Linked DNA regions of Saccharomyces cerevisiae S288C. Each later gene encodes a partner of the first gene's protein in a complex. Each region holds a gene or a part of one and is shown on either strand. Other genes may lie near its edges. The genes, in order: MRPL40, MRPL16, MRPL51 and MRP20.

Region 1 (3,000 bases):
CACTTTCGATTACTTCGGCTAAATATTGCAATTGAGAGGAAAGAGCCGCCAAATGTGGTTGTGCAAATGGCTCATATATTTGGTAAAATTTCTTTAGCAATTTATTTTGATATAATTCCTCCTGTAAAGTGTTCACTTTTAGTTCAAGACTTTGAAATTTGTGAGATGTTTTGGCTTCAATAGATTCCAATGTTGCTTTTAATCTTGAATTTTCTTCGATATATGTGCCTGCTATCTCCTTTTCATTTTCCAATGCAGATTGCAAATTACTTAATTGCAGTCTCAGTTCTTGCTCGAGTTGCTCATAGGTAATTCTTAAATTTTCATCCAATTTTTCTTTTGCCTGTAGTTCCTCCAACTCATTGTTTAAAGCCTTTATATTACTTGTGAGTAGGATATTATCATTAGTCAATTTATCAACAATATTAGATGATTTACTTTGAGCTTCAATCTGCAAGGCAAGGTCGCCGATTGTATTATTAGTCTGTTGCAATTGCAGACCTAAATCCGATATTTTTTTAGATAATACTGCATTTTCTTCTAATAACTGAGTATTCTCCTCGAGCAGGTCCTCTTGCACCTTCATAGCTTTATCATATGACAACTTTGTTTGGTCGAGTAGTCCCTGAAGAAGATGGCTCCTTTCTAACAGTGTGCCTTTGTCGAGATCCGGTGCCATTACACTATCTGAAGCATCTAATAGGTGATTGAAATTATCCAAATGAGTTTTCATATTACCATTTTCCACTTTCAGTTCTTTGACTAGTTTATCCAATCTTGAGATTTTAGACAATAGAACAGTTTCATTAGTACTCAGCTTTTCAACGGAAGTTTTCAGCTCATGATTTTCTATTTTAATTTTATTTAATTTGGACGCCAATGATTCACATTTTACTTGTAGATTCTTAATTGTTTCTTGCGCTGCATTACCATTTAGCAAACTATGCTCATCGTCATCTGGTTTATAAAACTGCAACGTATCTTTCTTGCAGAAAAGACCATAATAACCACCATTTGAATTAGCTTTCTTCAGGTCGATATCAAAGTAACGAATACCGTTAGCGCTTCCATCATTCTTTCCTAACGGTTTATCTAGTTCAATGCCGTACCATATGCCTTTTGCAAATTGAGTTTCCCCAATGAATTTCACCCGCCCCTTCATCTCGTTGACTAGAACTGTGTCCTGTAAGCTTATCTTCTGCATATTTGTGTCAACTTGAACACCTGCATTGCGCATTTGTCCAAGGCTGTACTGCGAGGTTGATGGAGATCGAATCTAGAATAGTATTATGTACTTTGCAAAAGTAAAGTACAACATAAAGTCTAGCAGCATATGAGTAACTCTCTACAGTTACGCCAACAATCTCAGTGTGGAGGTTAGAGTAAAAAGAAAGCACCTTACAACTGTACGTTTACATAAGTGACTTTTCAACATATATGCATTTTTTGTTAAGCATTGTAAAATACCCGGTTGAAAAGCGACATGAAAAATAACGACATGTTAGATTCAAAAGTACCTACTGCTCTTTAACAGCTACTTAAGGATTACCTGATAAGAGTAATCCACCGTAAAGAACATTATCAGCAACAAAATTTGTAATCCATCATGTCTGGAAGCTATCAACATTTATCAAACGTTGGATCGCGTGTTATGAAAAGATTGGGGAATCGACCCAAAAACTTTCTTCCTCATAGTGAAAAGTTCATTAAAAAATCTACGCCTGAGTTCATGAAGTCAGATTTAAAGGAAGTAGATGAGAAAACTAGTTTCAAGAGTGAAAAAGAATGGAAGTTTATACCTGGCGACAGAGTAGTAGTAATGAGCGGGGCTTCCAAAGGAAATATAGCTGTAATTAAATCTTTCGATAAAAGAACAAATTCATTCATATTAGATGAGAATGGGCCCACAAAGACTGTTCCAGTTCCTAAACAATTCTGGCTTGAAGGCCAAACATCTCACATGATAACAATTCCAGTTTCAATTTTGGGAAAGGATTTAAGGCTAGTTGCTGATATTGACGATGAAAAGACCCCAGGAAAGACAAGAACGGTGGCAGTAAGGGATGTTTCCTTCAATGGTTCCTACTATGATGCAGACTACAAAAAGGTAATGCCATATAGATGCGTAAAGGGTCAACCAGACTTGATCATTCCATGGCCTAAACCAGACCCAATTGATGTGCAAACGAACTTGGCTACCGATCCTGTAATTGCTAGAGAACAAACATTTTGGGTCGATTCCGTAGTGAGAAACCCTATTCCAAAAAAGGCAATACCAAGTATTCGCAATCCTCATTCTAAGTACAAAAGGGGTACCTTGACAGCGAAAGATATAGCTAAGCTAGTAGCACCTGAGATGCCCCTAACAGAGGTAAGAAAAAGCCATTTGGCAGAAAAAAAGGAGTTGGCTGAGAGAGAAGTACCAAAACTAACTGAAGAGGACATGGAAGCTATTGGGGCGAGGGTTTTTGAATTTTTGGAAAAACAAAAAAGAGAATAAATGTACCAAGTGTATGCACTCTATTTTTATATTTGATTCTCTAGTGTGATTTTTTTAATCAGTATATCCCCTTCACTATTCACGTAGTAAATAAGTTATATTCGACCTGTATATATGAAAGCATAAAGTAAAGTTCAAAGAATATTCAGATATTGATGTGGGCAAACGTGATGACTTCAAATTACAAAATCTTTTCTTTAAAAATAAATTATGTGCGTATGTACATTATTTTTAACCAATAAAAGGGTTTAAATATTTATTTACAAGATTAATGACTGCCCTTTAAGCGTTGTCTCTTTATCTCATTGTACTAATGCTAAAATCGTTCCTGTGGTCGCTTTGCTTCACCAGGATATATCCAATCCCAGCGGCCTTTTTTATGTATAATGGCTAGGATTAGAATTGCCGGTAGGTGCAATACACTAGCCATAAAAGTTTTCCTTGCATAAATGTTGGCTACACTTAGACCTTTATTAAACTTGACGTTATCTTTTAATGTT
Region 2 (2,863 bases), on another chromosome or scaffold:
ACGAGCCCATCTAGCAGCCAAAACCATACCTTCAGTACCTCTAACACCAAAACCACCGGGGATTAAGATACCGTCTGCGGTACTGACCATGTTCCATGCTTCATGAAATTTAGTTTTGTTGCTTTCTTGTGCTTCAGGTTCCAAATCAGTAGCTTCCACCCATTTAATGTCTAACTTACGACGACACTTCATGGATGAATGTTCCAATGCTTTTATCACTGATAGATAAGAATCTTTCAAGTTGGTGTATTTCCCAACCAAAGCAATCTTCACTGTTTCCATGGATTCATCGAAGTTACCTGTTGTGGCCTTCCATTTAGACAATAATTCCAGGCCTCTTTGTTTTTCTTCTTCTGTAAGTGATATTTCATCTAACTTTAATCTGGCGTGTAAGTAATCAATCATCTTTTGTTCCAGTAGCAACAATGGGACGTGATAAGTAGAATTAACATCGTGAACGTTAACCACCTGTTCAGGCCCCACATGACAAAACATGGCAATCTTATCGATTGTTGGTTTATCCAAAGTTTCACTACATCTACAGGCGATCATATCTGGAACTAAACCAAGAGACCTCAAACCTTTGATGGCAGCTTGAGTTGGCTTAGTTTTTTGTTCACCGTGGATGACAGGAACTAGAGAAACGTGTATCAAGGCAAAATTTTCCTTTCCAACTTTAAATTGGAATTGTCTTAGTGCCTCCACAAAAGGAGCACTTTCAATGTCACCAACTGTCCCACCCAATTCAATGATACAAACATCTGGTTCCATACCGGTGTCATCTACAGGAATTTTGGCCACGCGCTCAATCCAATCTTGGATAGCGTTGGTCAAATGAGGGACAATTTGCACGGTTTTGCCTAAATAGTCACCTTTTCTTTCCTTAGCAATAACGTGCGAGTATATTTTACCAGTAGTAATGTTATGATCTTTAGTCAAAGTAACTCCAAGGTATCTCTCGTAGTTACCCAAGTCCAAATCTGTTTCACCACCGTCGTCAAGCACGAAACATTCACCATGTTCCAAAGGAGACATAGTACCTGCATCAATGTTCATATAAGGGTCAATTTTAATTGACGTAACCTTTAAACCGAGGGTTTTCATTAGCATACCAGTTGAAGATGCAAGAACACCTTTACCGATACCCGAAATGACACCACCTGAAACAACAACGTACTTCATTTTCTGTCTATAAGTTTCTTTTGTTCTATTGACCAATTCACTGAGAAACTGCCTGAAACTTTTTCGACCTTAGAATGGCAGAAAAATGGCAAATACTGTAAAATACTTAACATTTAACTAAATTTTATTCTATGCTTTTCCTCTCGATGAGATGAGCTGTGAAAAATTTTGAAAAAAAAAAAAAAAAAAAAAAAAAAAAAAATTTGTTATCACCAATAACGAGAAACCTAACTCTAAAACTTAGGGTCAAAGAACAGAACCCTAGGCTTTGTATCCAGTTGAATCACTAATTACGAAAGAATGCTGGTGGAAATAATAATATCATATTGGTGCTCAAATAACAAGAAGACTTCTTTGGAAGAAATTATTACCAATTAACAGTCCACTTGTAGAGCGTACATATTGCCGGGAAGTTGATTACCTTTCACCAGAGGTACAGAGGAATAGAATTTTGCAACATGTTCCCCTATTTAACAAGAATGAATTTATCCATAAAGATGGGAGGGCTAACTTTAAAAGAAAGTTCCCCCAATGCTTTTTTAAATAACACCACTATTGCTAGGAGATTCAAGCATGAATATGCCCCACGTTTCAAAATCGTACAGAAAAAGCAAAAAGGTAGAGTGCCAGTTCGTACAGGTGGTTCAATAAAGGGATCCACTTTGCAATTTGGTAAGTACGGATTACGACTGAAAAGCGAAGGTATTAGGATATCCGCGCAACAGCTGAAGGAAGCAGATAACGCAATTATGAGATATGTCAGGCCTTTAAACAATGGTCATTTGTGGAGGCGTTTGTGTACAAACGTTGCTGTATGTATCAAGGGTAACGAAACAAGAATGGGTAAAGGTAAAGGTGGGTTTGACCACTGGATGGTGAGGGTACCCACAGGGAAGATCCTTTTCGAAATAAATGGTGATGATTTGCATGAAAAAGTCGCACGGGAAGCCTTCAGAAAAGCAGGCACCAAGTTACCTGGGGTATATGAATTTGTATCCTTGGATTCTCTGGTTAGAGTTGGATTACATAGTTTCAAAAATCCTAAAGACGACCCAGTGAAGAATTTTTACGATGAAAATGCAAAGAAGCCATCAAAGAAGTATTTGAATATTTTAAAGTCTCAAGAACCACAGTACAAACTCTTCAGAGGACGTTGAACGGATTGAACACACCATGTATACATGTATATAACTATTGAAAAATATCGATATTCACAATCAAGTAATCTAGCCATGGCTATGAGTTTATTAATTCTAGTATGCACTGTATACTCTCTGCGGAAGAATAGGAGTTTTTCCCCGGAGTGAGCGCTGAAGAAACACATGACGACGTGAAAAAACACTTGTTTGATCCAGCTGAGGTATAAACACTGAGAAATATTTGAGGGTCAAAGAAGCACTAGGAACGTTACAGTTGGAATTTGCTAGTCAATCGAGTTTCCAATTTCGCAACCTTTATTATAGTACTAATCTTATAAGCCATGGATCGCAAAAAAACACTTATAAACTCAAGTGTTTCTAATAATAACAGTACCATCAAGGGCCTACAGTTATTCATTGCAGATCTTCGTTCTGCACAACAAGCACAAGAGCAGGAAAAGAGAATACAATCTGAAATTGTCAAAATTAAACAGCATTTCGATGCTGCAAAGAAAAAACAAGGCAATCACGACAGATTAGGT
Region 3 (2,704 bases), 510 kb from region 1:
AGTTTATTCATGATGTATATTTGAACGATTCAGAGGGCATTTTTGAAGGTTTTATTACTTGGATTACTACGATAGTGAAATTTTTGCAAAAGAGTAAATTCGGAGGACCGAGTGAAAGGATCGACTTCAATAAGTTAATTTGTAGAGATGATATCGATATTGATGTCAAACTTTTGAAAGTTCAAGTTAATAATGTTCTTAATAAAAAGATTGGTGCGAGAAAAATCTATAAGAAGTTGTTAGATTTGAAGGTTAAACAAGGTACTAAACAAAATAACAAACACGCTGCTGGCATACTTCAAAAGAATTGGAGTGACATAAACTCCTTGGTTATGCCATCCAGCTCTGGATCTTTTGGACTTGGAGATGGTGATTTGGTGGATTTGGATCTCGATACAGGTGATTACGATTTTTTACATAAAGAGAATGAAGTTGAATTAGAAAAGCAATACAAAGATTTATTGAATCTTGTTGTTGATGAAAGTGAAATTGATAAATTGAGATCTCAAGTTTTCGCACAGGAATTAAAAAATTATTTAGAAGCTCAAATTGCTAAAAAGTAGGCCCTTTCTAGTATCTCCTTTATTCGTTTTTATTCGTTACGATTTTCCGGCTTAATAATATAGGATTGCTAGGTCTATATATAAGAAAAGCTTGTAGAAATAAAAAAATAGAAAAAACTTCAAGATAAATATTGTTCTCTTTTATTTTAAGATCCTACAAACAGCACAATTCCCCTTTTAGTTATTTTTAGCCAAGATCAGGATAGCAGAGAACTGAGTCCCTTATTCTTTAATTGAGGGTCAAAAAATTCCGATTGCGAACTTCATCTCCACCTTGGCAAAGGAATGACGAAAAAATGATCTTGCATATATATATTTACTTGTAAAATAATTATTTTGGAATTTTTCTTAACAAACCACCTGACAAACAAACACCGTACGCAAGCATCCCGCAAACATTAGAAAGATTGAACAAAAGACTCAATCCGTGCGACTTGCCAAATTCTTTACGTAATATAGCATCCTTTGCTTCCAATTCACTACCCGTGTATTTCTTCGCAATATTCTTTCTTTGTTCTTTAACTTTATGGGTCCAGGGCAACAACCAAAACAAATTGGTTAGCCCACTGACAGATGCAACCACCAAAGAAGATAATGGTCCTGTTGTCAAGGCAATTGGAGCGGTAAGGGCCAGGATGACAGGTGATGCCGCTTGCATTTGGAAAAAATACGGGAAGATCTTATTTTGCAAAGCAGAAAATTGGTCTTTTTCAAGAACTTTGAATGCGATTGGAGAAGCTACATAGGAATAAAACGTCGTTCCTCCAAATCTGAAAGATTAAGTTGGTACATAAAAGTTGTTAGTCAGTTATTCTCAATTAATCATAATTGTTCAAATTTTTTCTTGTGTCTTAATCTGTACATACACAAAGGAATAAAAAAGCAAATGAGCCGTAGTTTTGACTAAACACATTTTTCGTTGTTAAGTTTACTGGACTGTAAAGCGTAGTTTGATCTGCCTATATCATCAAACAACTCCATTTAACTCCCTTAAATAATACTATTCTTTTCTGTAAGTTTATCGCACTATACGTTACGGTGCTTTCCGTCTTTTTCGGATGAGGGATGCTCATAAGAATTACAACAAATCATAAGCCCTGAGATAAAAAAGATCAATCAATACGATTATCATAAACCATGACTAAGTAGATACACAGACACGAATATATGGAGAAATGGTTGTGAAAGCTATTGCACGAAATTCCATAGGTCGTAATGGAGTTGGAGCATTCGTGTTTCCATGCAGAAAGATTACTTTGCAATTCTGTAACTGGGGAGGGTCTTCGGAAGGCATGAGGAAATTTTTGACTTCAAAGAGATTAGATAAATGGGGCCAGGAGTTCCCATGGATACAGTTTGAAGTGATGAGGAAGTCTGGACATCCTTTGTTGAGGGCAGAATACACAAATGGGCGTGAAAAAGTTATTTGTGTGAGAAACTTGAACATTGACAATGTAGAAAACAAGCTAAAGCTATTGAAGGATTCTGATGGAGACATTTTACGCAGAAGAACAAAGAATGATAACGTGGAAAGCTTGAACAGTAGTGTGAGGGGTATATGGTCGCCTCTGCATGCTGCGAAAAGGCATAGAATTTAGCTTTAGTATATAAGAAAATTCTAGAAATAGAGAGAGATAATTATACTTGTATATATAATTTGGGGCAGATAAGACTCCTGATATTTAAGATTTAAAGTCAATTTTGCCATTGTTATATGATCATGTCCTGAAATATGACCTCTTGTATTTGGTTACCCGCTTTACACCCTGCAAATCACACTAGTCTAATAAATATGGAATAAGACTGAAACATATAAAAGATGTAACTTCTAGGATATCTGAAAGAGCAACCGTACGGTATTCAACGTTTAGATTTGATGGACGGCCTTAGCTTTGTTGATAAAGGGAAAATACCAGATGGTTACAAAAATGAAATAGATCAATTAGTAAAGAAGGAATTTGCGAATATAAAAAGAGAGCCTGTTCATCCCGAAATACGAGGTATACTTGCGAAGAGAAAGGGGGCCGATAATAGTGTTTCTACGCTTACAAATGCATTGTACACCGAATACTTGAAACAACGTAATAACAAAAAAAGGCGAACACCGGATTTTAATGACGACGATGATACTTTATTTTTGG
Region 4 (3,334 bases), on another chromosome or scaffold:
TCCGATTTGTCGAGACAGATTTTGATGAAAGGCTGTGATACAGATGCAGGTCGTTTGAGAAAGCAGATTGCAATAGAAGGACATCCAAGATTGCATCTGTATAGGGGCTTTTCACGTTTTATGATGGAAGATTTATCTCTACTGGAACATTTCCAAAGTTATTCCAGAAAAAAATTCAAGAAAATCATTTCAATGATCGCTTTTAACATGATTAAGAGAAATGACGCGTATTCGAACTTAGTGGAATTGATATTCCCTCATCATTTGAGAATTTCTATTCATGCGCACACTAACAGCGGGCCCAAATTTGGTATAAAAGTAATCTCCAACGAACAGTGTTCTATTGTTAGTTCGTTAGAAGACCTTGATGAACCCAAATTTGAAGATTTTTTACATATTCCCACACCTTGGCATAATTGTGTCGTGAAGGTTGAGGATGAAAAGGAGAAATACTTTTTGACAAAATCAAAAGTAGTCAAGGAGGCTCTCGAAAAGGGTATGTATGATGGTGTATGGAAAGATACTCGTTTCGATATTGGAGAAGGAGGACATTTCGTTATCAAGAAAATCTCTTAATAAAGTAAGAGCGCTACATTGGTCTACCTTTTTGTTCTTTTACTTAAACATTAGTTAGTTCGTTTTCTTTTTCTCATTTTTTTATGTTTCCCCCCCAAAGTTCTGATTTTATAATATTTTATTTCACACAATTCCATTTAACAGAGGGGGAATAGATTCTTTAGCTTAGAAAATTAGTGATCAATATATATTTGCCTTTCTTTTCATCTTTTCAGTGATATTAATGGTTTCGAGACACTGCAATGGCCCTAGTTGTCTAAGAGGATAGATGTTACTGTCAAAGATGATATTTTGAATTTCAATTGACGTAATTAATGATACTATTAATAATACAGAGCGTATATGAAGTATTGCAAATAACATGCACAGTTCTTTTGGGATGAGAATGATAATGAAAGGCGAAGGCGGGCGTTCAGAAAAGCGTTGCGGAGTAACAAGTGATTAAATAGCACCCAAATAATCTTCTTTGATACTACCGATTGCGTGAATAGAACTCACTTGACTGATACAACCTTCAATTTTAACTCTAATTCTACTTTTTATGGTGATGACATCCTCGGAACTTTGGTATGATGGTGGGTTTGAACCCGCATTAAAGGTTAAATCTTGAGGCATCAGATGCTTTGTCACAAATACTTTCATTGGACCTACTTGCACTTCGAACCCGTGCTGAGAACATGAAACGACTGTGCCGTCCACTACTTCCCCTTTAAATGGTTTGAAAACTACAGCTCTATATTTCACGTTGAACTCGGCGGACCCATCTGTGGGCAATATTCTCCCACGTTGAATATCTATATTATCATAGTCTAGGACACAAAGAATATATCCGAATTTACCCGTACACGAACCTTCAACCTCTTCCAATAGTTTTGTCTTTAGATATTGCTTCATTCGAGGACCGAAAAAGGACGGATGAAGGGTAATATTAAGCGAAAGGTCTTTAATAAAAAACATTCTCAGAAATTGAGTTATTTATACAGTGGTTGAAATGTGAATCTATTCTTGGACTTTCCCACTGTCTAATCGCAAAGGAGAATGGTGTAGGAGGAGAAACGGAAAAAGAAAGGCTATGATATTCTGGGAGAAGAGATAGGTGGACAGACCTGATCGACCCAATGTTAGAGAATAAATCGACGAAGTGAGCTTGTCTACGTTATTGGCATTTTCACTGGGATATAGGAATACCGCATTTATTTTCCTTGTATTTTTCAAAATAGCCGTTGAAACCCACAGAAGATCACTTAATACGTAATCGCGTTATACGAATTTTCTCGATGAAAAAGGGAAAACGATGGTATTAGAACTTGAAATGTACATACATTTCTTGTGGAGAACGTAACGCTACTAACAAATAATGTGCTTTGATTAGCAGGCTCCAACAGAAAAAAAAATAAAATAAAAATAAAAAGTACGCAACACCAACACAGAATATGCCACGATTGACGGTTGGAACGAAGAATATGTTGTATCCTTTGCAAAAAACACTTGCAGTAGGAAGTTGCAAGCCAGAGCAGGTTCCAATAAGATCACTAGCCTCAGTGGTGGAGAGTTCCTCCAAAATACTCGACAAAAGCGGCAGCGATCGCGAAGTAGATATAAACGTAAGCGAGAAGATTTATAAGTGGACAAAGGCGGGCATAGAGCAGGGAAAGGAGCATTTCAAAGTTGGAGGTAACAAAGTCTACTTTCCCAAGGCCAGGATCATCCTCTTGAGGCCCAACGCGAAGCACACACCGTATCAAGCAAAATTCATCGTCCCAAAATCGTTCAACAAACTGGATCTCAGAGACTATCTTTATCATATCTACGGCTTAAGAGCAATGAACATTACGACGCAGCTGCTTCATGGGAAGTTTAACCGTATGAACCTACAGACGACGCGGTTTAGAGAACCGCAGATCAAGAAAATGACTATCGAGATGGAAGAACCCTTCATTTGGCCCGAAGAACCCCGTCCGGACGAAAACTCCTTCTGGGACAGCACCACGCCTGACAACATGGAAAAGTACCGTGAAGAAAGACTTAACTGCTTGGGCTCAGACGCCAACAAACCCGGCACAGCATTCGACGGAGTCGTGGGGCCTTACGAACGGGTGGCCCAGCCTTTTATACCTCGCTTCTTAAAACGAGAGATAGACAATAAGCGAGAGCGTCACGCCGCCGAACTGCAGCGCGCAGATAAACTAATTGCCCTGAACAGGTACATAGAAGATCTACATTAGAAGGTTTCCCATTCCACCCCTTCGTTAACCCACACGCAAATACCCAGATAAGCATCTTGCACCCCTCACACTTGTATATACGGAGCAAACTACATAATCTCTAAACAGAAAAAAAAAAAAAGAAAGAAAATTAAGAACATTACTTTTTCCGAGCAACAAACGCAAAAATATATGAAGTGGCTGTAGAACATGCCTTACGGAAGAAAAGAATGATGATGGCATCCCCTTCCCCTGCCCTGGAAGGTGGCCTGTATTTCTGTTCTTTTTTTATTTTTGTTCGCGCAAAGAGCAAGAACATTGGTTGCTTTACTTATTATTTTCAGGGTCGCTTCCGCGGGATGCCATGCACGGATGCCTGCGGAGACAGTGGCGCGGAGCCGTCCGCATGCTCGTTCCGCGGAGAGTCTCGAGCGGGTCCGCGAGGGGCGGATCTGCAACGCACGGTGCCGGGGTTAAGGTATGGCACGATGGTAAGACGATGAGGGAAAAGAATACTGCTACTGCTGTGCGAGACTTTGGTAGTAGGGATCGGA

What was found.
Region 2: MRPL40 (region 1) and MRPL16 share a complex: the UniProt entries of both Saccharomyces cerevisiae proteins name them as parts of the mitochondrial large ribosomal subunit.
Region 3: MRPL40 (region 1) and MRPL51 share a complex: the UniProt entries of both Saccharomyces cerevisiae proteins name them as parts of the mitochondrial large ribosomal subunit.
Region 4: MRPL40 (region 1) and MRP20 share a complex: the UniProt entries of both Saccharomyces cerevisiae proteins name them as parts of the mitochondrial large ribosomal subunit.

Annotation. Positions count from the first base shown.
Region 1 is NC_001148.4:221,537-224,536, forward strand, and holds MRPL40 (mitochondrial 54S ribosomal protein uL24m MRPL40), read left to right. Parts: upstream 1-1,606; coding exon 1,607-2,500; downstream 2,501-3,000. Other genes in the region: NIP100 (Nip100p), read right to left, coding at 1-1,237; COX10 (protoheme IX farnesyltransferase), read right to left, coding at 2,817-3,000. UniProt on the Saccharomyces cerevisiae protein: Component of the mitochondrial ribosome (mitoribosome), a dedicated translation machinery responsible for the synthesis of mitochondrial genome-encoded proteins, including at least some of the essential transmembrane subunits of the mitochondrial respiratory chain.
Region 2 is NC_001134.8:144,547-147,409, forward strand, and holds MRPL16 (mitochondrial 54S ribosomal protein uL16m MRPL16), read left to right. Parts: upstream 1-1,640; coding exon 1,641-2,339; downstream 2,340-2,863. Other genes in the region: CTP synthase URA7, read right to left, coding at 1-1,182; APL3 (Apl3p), read left to right, coding at 2,663-2,863. UniProt on the Saccharomyces cerevisiae protein: Component of the mitochondrial ribosome (mitoribosome), a dedicated translation machinery responsible for the synthesis of mitochondrial genome-encoded proteins, including at least some of the essential transmembrane subunits of the mitochondrial respiratory chain.
Region 3 is NC_001148.4:728,053-730,756, forward strand, and holds MRPL51 (mitochondrial 54S ribosomal protein mL43 MRPL51), read left to right. Parts: upstream 1-1,738; coding exon 1,739-2,161; downstream 2,162-2,704. Other genes in the region: LEC1 (Lec1p), read left to right, coding at 1-563; TMH18 (Tmh18p), read right to left, coding at 895-1,333, 1,430-1,476; YPR099C (uncharacterized protein), read right to left, coding at 1,705-2,061; SNT309 (Snt309p), read left to right, coding at 2,440-2,704. UniProt on the Saccharomyces cerevisiae protein: Component of the mitochondrial ribosome (mitoribosome), a dedicated translation machinery responsible for the synthesis of mitochondrial genome-encoded proteins, including at least some of the essential transmembrane subunits of the mitochondrial respiratory chain.
Region 4 is NC_001136.10:1,275,637-1,278,970, forward strand, and holds MRP20 (mitochondrial 54S ribosomal protein uL23m MRP20), read left to right. Parts: upstream 1-2,009; coding exon 2,010-2,801; downstream 2,802-3,334. Other genes in the region: DIT1 (Dit1p), read left to right, coding at 1-576; DNA-directed RNA polymerase II subunit RPB7, read right to left, coding at 1,018-1,533. UniProt on the Saccharomyces cerevisiae protein: Component of the mitochondrial ribosome (mitoribosome), a dedicated translation machinery responsible for the synthesis of mitochondrial genome-encoded proteins, including at least some of the essential transmembrane subunits of the mitochondrial respiratory chain.